2 linked regions of the Oryzias latipes genome follow. The protein of the gene in region 1 interacts with the protein of each later gene in a pairwise test. Links are inferred from orthologs where the notes say so. Each region holds a gene or a part of one and is shown in the gene's direction. Other genes may lie near its edges.

Region 1 (5,940 bases):
CTTCTGACGCAGGTGTTTGCAAAAAGTTCCAGATGTTTGGTGACCCGGACGGATCAGATCAGATGGATCCACAGATCAGATCAGAAGCTGAATATATCAGACAGGAGGCAAAGCAGATGATGATGATGATGATGATGATGAGGCCGCAGAGTGAGTTTGTGAGCAGTTGCTGCCGTTTCCTCCTCAGACGGACGCTGATCCAGAGGTGTGTAAGAGGATGTGCAAGGCCAACCACTGTGAGAACGTGCTGTCTCTGGTTTCTTATTACCAGATGGTGAGAGAAAGTATTTACTAAGAACCTCCCACAATGCACTGTGGTCCTGCAGAGGAAGCGTGATGTTGTTGTTTGAGATGGCCGCTGCTGTGCGTGCAGGAGCACCGCGTGTCTCTGCGCCTGCTGCTGCTCAAAGTGTTCGGCGCCATGTGCAGCCTGGATGCCGCTCTCATCTCCACCCTCCTGAACTCCATCCTGCCCATGGAGCTGGCCAGAGACCTCCAGACGGACACGCAGGGTGAGAGCGTCGTCCACGGGGAAACCGGGATTCATTTAGGAAGAGTTCGATAAAGAATAATCCAAGCATTCTATTCAGGTGGAAGACAAAATGCTGCAATTTAAATTGAAGTTTCCTAGTTCAAATAAAAGTTTAATCATCTGGAAAACAACTGAAACTGAACAAAATTAACACATAATAATGAAAGAACAGTGATCTGAAATCATTTCAGAGCCCTTTGTGCCTCTCCGGTTTCTAAGCAACGTCTGTTTCCCACTTTGTCTGGCTTTTATTTTGCAGTTTTAACAGGAAACTGTGGAATCTGTCAAACTCGAATTATGCAGAGGATCAAATTGACTTTTTATGACTCATAAATGTAGTTTTTGATCAGGATTTGATTTATTAAAGCAAAGAAAAAACACTAGCCAAGCCTGTAAAACCCTAACATAGTCAGACTCCCATAAGCCTTTACTGCTCATCGATTCCTTGTTGATAAAAAAAAAACACTACAATTTAATCTGGACTATGTTTGTTTGATAGTCCAGATTCTTTCAGTGTAACAAATATTTTGTAAAGAACACCTTTACTTGAATTAACAATAATTTCATTATAGTGTGTTAACTTGAAGTTGGCCTCACAACAACTGTTGTTGAAGATGGACATACAGTGTTTTGGTGAGGAAGGGTACCTGCTGCGTCTTTAGTTTGCATCCTGGTCTTTCTAGAGCCAAAAAACACAAAAACGTAGCTGGAGATGTCAATTCCAGAAACATCCACTGGAGGCACAGATGACTCTAATCCCACTCTGTTTAAATGTAGGGAATTCATTTTTGGTTTGAGCGTCTCTGGGATTCCTCCCATCCTTAACAGCCATTCAGTTTCAGTCACCACACTTCTCTTCACCACAAAAGGAAGTCCGGATGACTAAAGAAAATCCTGCCTCTGCACAGATAACCCGTCCTGTTCTGATGGATTGTTCAGGCGTGAGAACATGAACAGAAGCTACTTTGATTCACAGACTCTTTAATACCTTTAACTCCTAAATGTTTCTGTAAGCCTTTTCAGTGCTCTGAACCTTTTTTCTTCAATGATCTTCACTGGTGTCCATGGATTACATGAAATCTTTCCACCTTTATCCACCTTTGTCATGGTAGGGGGGACACGTCAATGGAAGGGGGGGGGTCATCTAAGATAGCACAAGATGATATATTCCTTGATTCCTGGAATTTTCAAGAACGTTTTCTGAGCGACTCCCCTAACCCTGAAGATGTGACCAATCTGCAGTTTTAGGCAATTCCCTTCACAGTCTAAATTTGAACTGATCATAAGTTTAAAAGTATCAGTATTTGTTTTTGAAAGTCAATTGCAAATGTCTGTTTTTTTCCACCAGAACACCAGAAGATGTGCTACTCTGCTTTGGTCCTTACGATGGTCCTCTCCATGGGGGAGCAGGTGCCCTATCGTCACTACGGTACGGAAAAAAGCAATCCCCTAACTTTCTCTGTGAAATCACACCATCTGAGCTGATGGAGGAAAAGAATTTGTTGGTTGAAGTTGAAAAACACCAAAAGTCTGGGAAATGTCTATTATTATGGAAATATCAGTAAACGATCTTTTAAAAAACCAAAAAGAATGCAAATGTCTGAAATTGTTTCAGACTTTTGTTCAAAAGAATCATCATTAAAATTAACATAAACGCTGATTCCCTTAAATGAATATTAAAGTCCCACTCCGTTTCTCTTCTGATCTGTTGTCAAAGCATTCAGAGGTCATTTCAGTTACCCTCGTGCTTTCCTAGGCTCTTTTATGTTGGGAGTGGGGTCATCTAGACCCACTAGACAGTGCTCTGAACCTTTTTTCTTCAATTATTTGTGATCTTCACTGGTGTCCATGGATTACAGGAAATCTTTCCACCTTTATCCACCTTTGTCATGGTAGGGAGAACACGTCAATGGAAGGGGGGGGGGGGGGGGGGTCATCTGGACCCCACAAGAAAGCACAAGGGATTAATGTGTGAGTTTGGCGTGTTTCAGCTCCTCAGACAGATGTGACTATCCTGCTTGAGACTTCTGTGAAGCTCTTAGAGCAGCGGCCCCCAATTCCCGGGCCGCAGACCGGTACCGGTCCTTGGGTCCTTTGGTACCGGGCTGCAAAGAAAGAATAAATAACTTACTGTACATGACTTCTGTTTTATTTATTTTGGAATCTGAAAGATGTTTTATTTTGAAAAATTGCCTGATTCTCTGTTCCATCAGTCTATGTCACTCTTGACGCAGGCCCAGGGTCTCCTCTCGGTCACATGATAGGTTACTGCTAAAATAAAAACCAGGAGCTAGCAAAATGAGTAAAAACAAACGTCTTTGGAAAGTTTCTTTGCCAAAGGGAAAGCCAGGAGACAGAAGAGGAGCCTTCCACTTCCAAAAAAAGAAATCTACATTTAATAGACACTACTTCTTGTTTGCACCATGAGTGTGGGAAGGGGAGAGGATGATGACACCTGTGCGTGTCAAAATAAAAGCTCAGAGTTTATCTCGTTACGTCTCCGTTTCTCCTTCATCGTTGCTACAATAGTTTTCCGCCACATTTGAAAGACCGGTCCGTGAAAACTTTGAGTGACGCCATACCGGTCAGTGGCTTCATAAAGGTCGGGGACCGCTGTCTTAGAGGACACACCTTTCTTTAAAATGTCCTTGTGGTCAAAGTACTTTCATTTTTTTCCTGTTATTTTGTTACATCTAATGAATATGTTGAACAGTTCAAAAGAAATGGCCCAATGACTCTCAGACCTCCATTGTTTATGTTTATACAAAATCTAATGTTTTGAACTTTAAAGTGTTTTCTAATGTTCATTCCTCACGAAAAACAACCCCAAAGCGGTATTTGGATCCATTCACACTTTTCTGAGCGTTCCCCTTAGAACCTGCTCTCTGAGCACCAGCCTCTCCCAATCTACGAAAACAAGCGGGTCCTCACATTGTGACATCACAAAGTGAGGACCCGCCCCTTCCAGGAAGAGTCTGCACTGCCAGGCGGTGCTTGTGGTGCACTTTCTCTGCAAAATCGGCAAAAACTCTTACCTTTTATGTGCACAGTATGCACATCCATCTTTACAAAAGTTTGGATGTTTGATTTTGTGGGAGAAACGCAGACACGCCGCCGAGGCCGACTATAGGTTGACGCCATAAAATGGGCAACACCCACACAGAGAGAAAGGCGGGGCCTCAGAGCTCGAGTCCTGTTACTTCTGGAGAGGAAAAGAACTCAGTAAAAAATGTGTTCTGTTGTGTGCCAAAGGTAATGTATTATCATAAACATGGATATTGTTAACTCTAAAAGGCTTAGAAATAGCATCATGCAGGCCCTTTAAGTTATTTCTGTGACCGCTGTGGTTTTTTCTTTAATTAATGTCCAAACGTGTATCTATTAACCTGTTTGGAAGTTGTAATTAAAAGAAAAAGAAAAGCTTCAAGAGAATTGCTTGGACTCCCCTCTTTTTTTTCCAGAGCACTTGAATGCAGAATTCATCCGGTTTGTTCTGGGCGTCGTGGAGGACGGACTTCCCTCTGATCCTACTGAGCAGTTACCTGACATCTTCCTGAACCTCCTGCTGGCCTTTAACCTGCACCACACGGGTCAGAACAAACTCCTCAGATCACATTTTTACATTTTTCCTTTGGTTTCTTTCTTGTTTTTTAACCGACATACATTGTAGTAATAATTTCTAAAAGTGTGCCTGCCACCTTTTTCAGTCCCCAGCAGCAATGTGCTGATGCAGGAGGTGTACCAGAAAAATGTCAGAGTCCTGACGGAGAAAGTCTTGCTGCTCCTCAACAGAGGCGGTAAATCCAAACGGTTCTTTCCAGTTTTTCAGACGCTCCACCTCTTTCTCTGTCCCATGAACCTTTGCTCTGCGCTCCGCAGACGACCCGGTGTGCATGTTCAAACACACTCCACCAGCGCCGCACGCCGTCCTCAAGTTTCTGCAGGACGTCTTTGCTAGTCCAGAGACCGCCAACATCTTCTACCGCACTGACATGATGGTGATGATCGACATCGCAGTCCGACAAATATCGGATCTGTCACCTGGAGACAAGGTTAGCCTCATCGGCACGTTAGCATCAGCGCATCTGCTAAAGCCTGAAGTCCTTTTCATTTCTCTGTGAAGCTGAGGATGGAGTATCTCTCTCTCATGCACGCCATCATTCGCTCGACGGACTACTTGGAGCACCAGCACCGCCTCCGCGACCTGCAGGCGTCCCTGCAGAGGATCCTCACCGAGGAGGAGGAGGAGGGAGAAGAGGAAGGGAGCGCCACAGCAAGGCAGATGGATAAGCTAATCGTACAGCAGATCTTCACGGAGTTCCCTCAGATCTGTGAGGCCTAACACATCAGCGTCATGCTCACGCACTGCAGTCTGCTTCCGTTCACAGCAGGGGGCGATCTGCGTTCATCCCTGGAAGCCGTCACTTTCATCTCTGGATTAGACGTTTCGAAATAGCTTGCAAGAATAGAAAATATTGCAATTGCACAAAAAAAGAGTAGAGAAACGACAAGAGTTTAAGCCAAACACCTGATGTGCTGTCAAAGTGAATTCCCAGCAATAACCATATCCAGTTTCCATGGACTAACTGCATGTGTTCTGTAGGATTTCATTGTTCATCACCTTCTGGCTGATTTCAGGGGAAGTGTGAAGGTTTGGGTGAAGCAGGTCTGTGAGGAGAGGAGGTGCCATGAGTTCAGTGCTGACTGAGAACCTGTTTGTTAGTCCTTGAATTGGGACCAAACTACTGTGTTACTGAGAGTATTATTTTCTTAGCTGGATGCTGCACTCTTAATGTCTTCTCTTTTTTCATTCATATCTTAAAGTCAGGTTAGTTAGAAACCATGACGAAGTTTACGTGTTCTGAGGCAAGGAGCCAAACAAATCTGAAGCTGCTGATCGCTGCTGCGTTTGAGTCTGCTGTGCTTCTGCAGCTTTCTCCGCCTGCTGCTTCTCTGACGTTCGGCTGTAAGCGCTCACTCTTTGCTAACTTAAGGCTCCTGGAGCATCAGAATTGATCCTGAAGCCGTCTGTGCTGCATCAAGGCTTTATGACAACAGAGTTTTCGGCTGACGTGAAGCGTTCTGCAGGTATTCTCTGTGCTCTAGCATCAAGCAGCGTTGTTCAGTTAGAACTCAGTCCTCCTGCTGAGGATCAGAACAAAATCACGAGACGTCGTTTTTGTTTGCGACACTTTCTGTTGGACTTAACGTGTTCCTGTTGTTTTCCTCATTTTGATCCAGTAATGTTCTTGCCTGATCCTCTCTGACTCCAACCCTGGCATGACGTCACATGAAAGATACTAGAGTACGACTCCATGTTTGTGTGTGCGCGTATGTGTATGTGTGCGTGAGAGAGGGTTAAATGTAATGTAGGACAGTTTTTTTTCGCCTGTGTAACACTGAGTCTA
Region 2 (4,121 bases), on another chromosome or scaffold:
CTGTCAGTCTGGCGCCTGCCGCCTTTGTCCTGCAATTTAACTTCAAGGACATCACAAAAGAAACGGCAGGGAGGAGGCGTGATGCATCACTACAATGAATATCACACCTTTCCCACGTGGAGAGGGAAGTTGCTTCAATTTTGATGCAAGTGAGGAAATAATATGGTGTCTTAGAGGTTTTATTGAATGAGCCCCATATTTAAATTTATGCAGATGACGTGTTGTCACGTTATATGTTTTCACAGCAGGCTGGTTTGTTTGTTTGCCATTTTTCTTGGACTGAACAGTATATCTTGAAGTTGGAGCAAAAAAACTTATTTGGCAACAGTCATGTGTTTGATGTTTTGTTATTACACAGATTCCTGCACCTCTTCACACATTTTGGAAAAATAAAACTGTTTTGGATTTGCTAGAGATTGTTTTTGATTAGTGTGAACACATACATAACAAATAGTAATTACGCTTTGGTGGGACAACAATTTCCTTAAAAATGTAACACCTATATCAAGTTTTTGAGGGAAAATAAATACAAAATTCACACTAATGACGTTTTGAGCTGGAAAATTCAGCAAATCCCAATTCTACCCCTACACTCTATCGGGAGGGACAAAATGATCCATTTTTTATTTATTCAAAGTACATATAGGTTTACAGGGTTATGGGAGGTCTGGAAAGCACTTAAGAAATGCAATAAGGGTTTATTTTACCAATCGTTATTTTGCATCATTTCTAATGTATGGTACAATTGTTTTTAAAAAAACATTTTCAATTTTTATTATTGTTTCAGCTATTTTCTATCCCTATCTGAAATGTTTGGACATGTTTACTCTGAACAGAAAATGTATTTACAAAGGTTTGATAATAAAGAATTTGTTGTGAAAAATTAAGAAAAGTCTATTTTAAATTTAACTTCTAACGTACACTAATTCAGTCATCTCATTCGCAGAGATGCTCTGAATGGCTCCTGTATTTCTCAGTCCTCTCATGCCTTAGAAATTAGGATAAGGGGGTGGTGGTATGGCAAAATGAGCAAGAGATTATTTTAACAGGCAGGAATCTTAGTGTTTTAATCTCCATAAATGTGAAAACTGTTATTTGATGTATTATCTAAAGTTTCATTTGATTATTTTTCTACAAAATTGTTTCTTTCCCCTCCGTTTTTCCCCCTAGACAGATTAGAAGGTCTGTATCAAGCCGGGCTTGTTTATTTTTAGTGCGTCTTGGAGCTAAACTTTGGCAGCTCTGACTGCGTGGTAACTCTCCTCCTTCCCGGTGATGCCTCTCTTAAAGCTCTCCGCCCCTCAGACTGTTGGCACTACAACGCGCGCGCCTCAGCGCACAGCGTGGACTTGGAGACGTCTTGAAGATTTACGCACGGCGCCGCTACAGACGCGAGCATTTCAGAGGAACCCTGACCAAACTCCATAAAACGTCACTCCTACAAGCAGTCCATGGGCCAGCTCCTGCCAAACGTTTACATTTTTTTTTATCGAGGATAACACTTTTCTTTTTCTTTCTTCTGTTTTTTTTTCTGTTTTTCTTTTTTTCCGGGGTGACTTCAAGAGCGATGGAAACAGTCCTAACAGGAGTCAAACTCTGAAGAGCAGCCGCGATTTCCCCCTTTTTTTTCTTCCAAATAATAGAGATCATTAAAAGAGAGGATGATCCCGCCGGCAAACACGATTCAGGACGACAGCGGGGGCAACGAGGAGGACCGGGACCAGGATGAGACGCCAAAATCCCCAACGACGAGCAACAGCCAGAAGGAAACCAAGGTACGACATGATCTCTGTTTCTCTGATAAACTAAAGAAAAAGTTCAGCTCTCATTTAACTGAATAGGATATCAACTTAATCAACGTGACATTGATTGAAAAATTGTCTCAGCTGTTTAAAAGAAGTCAAACTCATAGTTATGACAAAGTTGTTGTTTTTTTTAGAAAATGATTAAAACGATATCAAAACTAATATTTTTTATTGTTATTTGATAAATTATCTTAAGAAGTACTGCTTTAAAGGGCTAAAAAGGCTCACAATTTGATTGCTACATAATGATACATGCATTACCTACTAAAACTTGAAGGTTAGATACATTGGCTAAAGGAAGAGTATTACTTTCCAAAATAAAGGGGTTACTTATTTTTAACAGTTCTAAAAAACGCTGTTTAATCGGAATTGTTGCAAAAAAGAACAGTTTCCTAAATTATGTTTTATTTGCTTTGCAATGATGCTGTCAAAGCCTCAAATTCTGTTAAAGTTTTTCTCTTATTTGTAAATTTTAGAGAAAGCCACAAAAACCCATGAACACTGGAATTCAGGCACCTTTTCGTAGCCTAAATTCACAAATATGGTCCCCTCTTGATGCAGGCTATGCAATATAGATCTCCAGCAGCCGGAGGCAGTTCAGCATGTGGGTCACATGTTGCTCAGACTCTAATTAGCAGCACATTATTGGAGGAGTCATCAGGGTAAAGGCCCGTACACACCGGGACGAATATTCGCCAGGCGTTATTCGCCAGCGTTTTTCGCCACGTTTTTTGTGTTCACACCCAGGCGATTTTCGCTGACGATGAGTGGAGCGAACATGCAATTTCATTCCCTGACATTAGATGGCGCTTAATGTAAAACAGAAATACTCCTGTACACAAGGTGGCGCTGCGCAACTTTACGCTTCTTAAAGTCGCTTTTCACTCAGAAGAAGAGAGCAAGTATTTACACGCTTGTCAGAATCAAACAACGAAAACATGAATATTTCAAGCACCAGTAGGTCCAACTGGTGCTTGGTTCGGGGATATTTTAGAATGTCCGTCATTATTGCTTCGCGGCTGTGTAGACGCTACTTGGCGTCTATCTTCTTCGCTGGTATGTGTGCTCAGCAAGGCAGTTTTGTGTTTGAGCGCCCCCAAGTTGTGTTTTACTGTAACTTCAGAAGCTCCAGACACGTGAGCAAAAGCGCCATTCTCATTGGTCGAGTAGATTTCGACGCGACGCGTCAAAAAAAAAAAACGAACCCGAGGCGTTTTTTTTTTTTTGACGCTTTAACGCGTCGCGTTTTTTCGCGTCGGTGTGCACACTCTCGTTGGTGCCCTTTGTTTAGTCACGAGGCGTTAAACGTCGGCGAAAATCGCCGGCGAAATTCGTCCCGGTGTGAACAGGCCTTAAGGGATGGCAGCAGAAGCTCTCTTGTCACCTCCACTCCCACACACAAGAGGTTTCTGTTCTCCTTCCAGTGGAATGACAGTCTTGTGGAGCACTTGCTGCTCAGCCCTCTGAATTGCGATGAGAGAATGACTCTCCAGGATTTTTAAACCCTCACAAACACTGAATGTGTCATGTCATGAGATTTCACGAATGATAAAGTGACCTGTAGTAGTAAAGCTCTTTGTATTTTCATTCCTCCTTTAAGAATACTGTGCGGCCCGAACATCAAAAACGCAAGGTGAGCCCCCACGCTGAAGTAAACATTAATTTGTCCATCATCCAGAGCAGACCTGCATGTGCTTCCAGATGAAGAAATATTTCTCTTAGGTCAAACGTTTATGAATATTTGATGTAAATTGAGCTCCATCATCTTCATTCAGAGGGAAATTCCTGTTTCGAGCTGCATGAATAATTAAGAACAAACATTTATGTAAATGACTGGATAATTTCATTAACAGCTGTGCCAGATTTGATCACTCGATCTGCATTAACCCTTCATGATTACCATAAACTCATAGATGAACTAACAAAAAAGCATGGTTCTTGTAAGCTTTTTTAGATTTAAATAAAAGAAATGTGTTTGGTTGAAATTGTTTAAAATGTTCAAGGTAAAAAGGTTTCCTGTTGAAAGATACATCGAATGCTCCAAAAAACGCTGAATGTCGGCACAGTCAAGTTCTCATGGGAGTTTATTTGGGACTGAACTCCTGAACTCACCATGACACCTGCAGGACGCTGCTGTTCATTTCCGTGGATACAAACATGAGCTCGGATCTGCCGGGAAACAATAATCTTGGTTTGGTTGCAAGGGAATCCTGGTGCCTCTTGGTGGCAGTGTGAAAGCAATCAAAATCTTTGGTCAATCAAAGATCAGAGAAAGTAAGTAATGCAAGAAATTTGGTTTAAAAGTATTAAAAGCCT

Evidence for each region. The genes of interacting proteins can lie anywhere in the genome.
Region 2: the proteins of nckipsd (region 1) and stac interact in binary tests that used the Homo sapiens proteins (3 or more experiments, as listed by UniProt). The link is inferred for Oryzias latipes from reciprocal best matches to the Homo sapiens genes NCKIPSD and STAC.

The regions. Positions count from the first base shown.
Region 1 is NC_019863.2:1,725,120-1,731,059, forward strand, and holds part of nckipsd (NCK-interacting protein with SH3 domain), read left to right. Parts: intron 1-187; coding exon 188-274; intron 275-373; coding exon 374-512; intron 513-1,880; coding exon 1,881-1,961; intron 1,962-3,993; coding exon 3,994-4,122; intron 4,123-4,239; coding exon 4,240-4,329; intron 4,330-4,411; coding exon 4,412-4,584; intron 4,585-4,655; coding exon 4,656-4,874; 3' UTR 4,875-5,940. UniProt on the Homo sapiens protein: Has an important role in stress fiber formation induced by active diaphanous protein homolog 1 (DRF1). Induces microspike formation, in vivo. In vitro, stimulates N-WASP-induced ARP2/3 complex activation in the absence of CDC42.
Region 2 is NC_019880.2:9,979,427-9,983,547, forward strand, and holds the start of stac (SH3 and cysteine-rich domain-containing protein), read left to right. Parts: upstream 1-1,321; 5' UTR 1,322-1,661; coding exon 1,662-1,775; intron 1,776-3,405; coding exon 3,406-3,438; intron 3,439-4,121. UniProt on the Homo sapiens protein: Promotes expression of the ion channel CACNA1H at the cell membrane, and thereby contributes to the regulation of channel activity.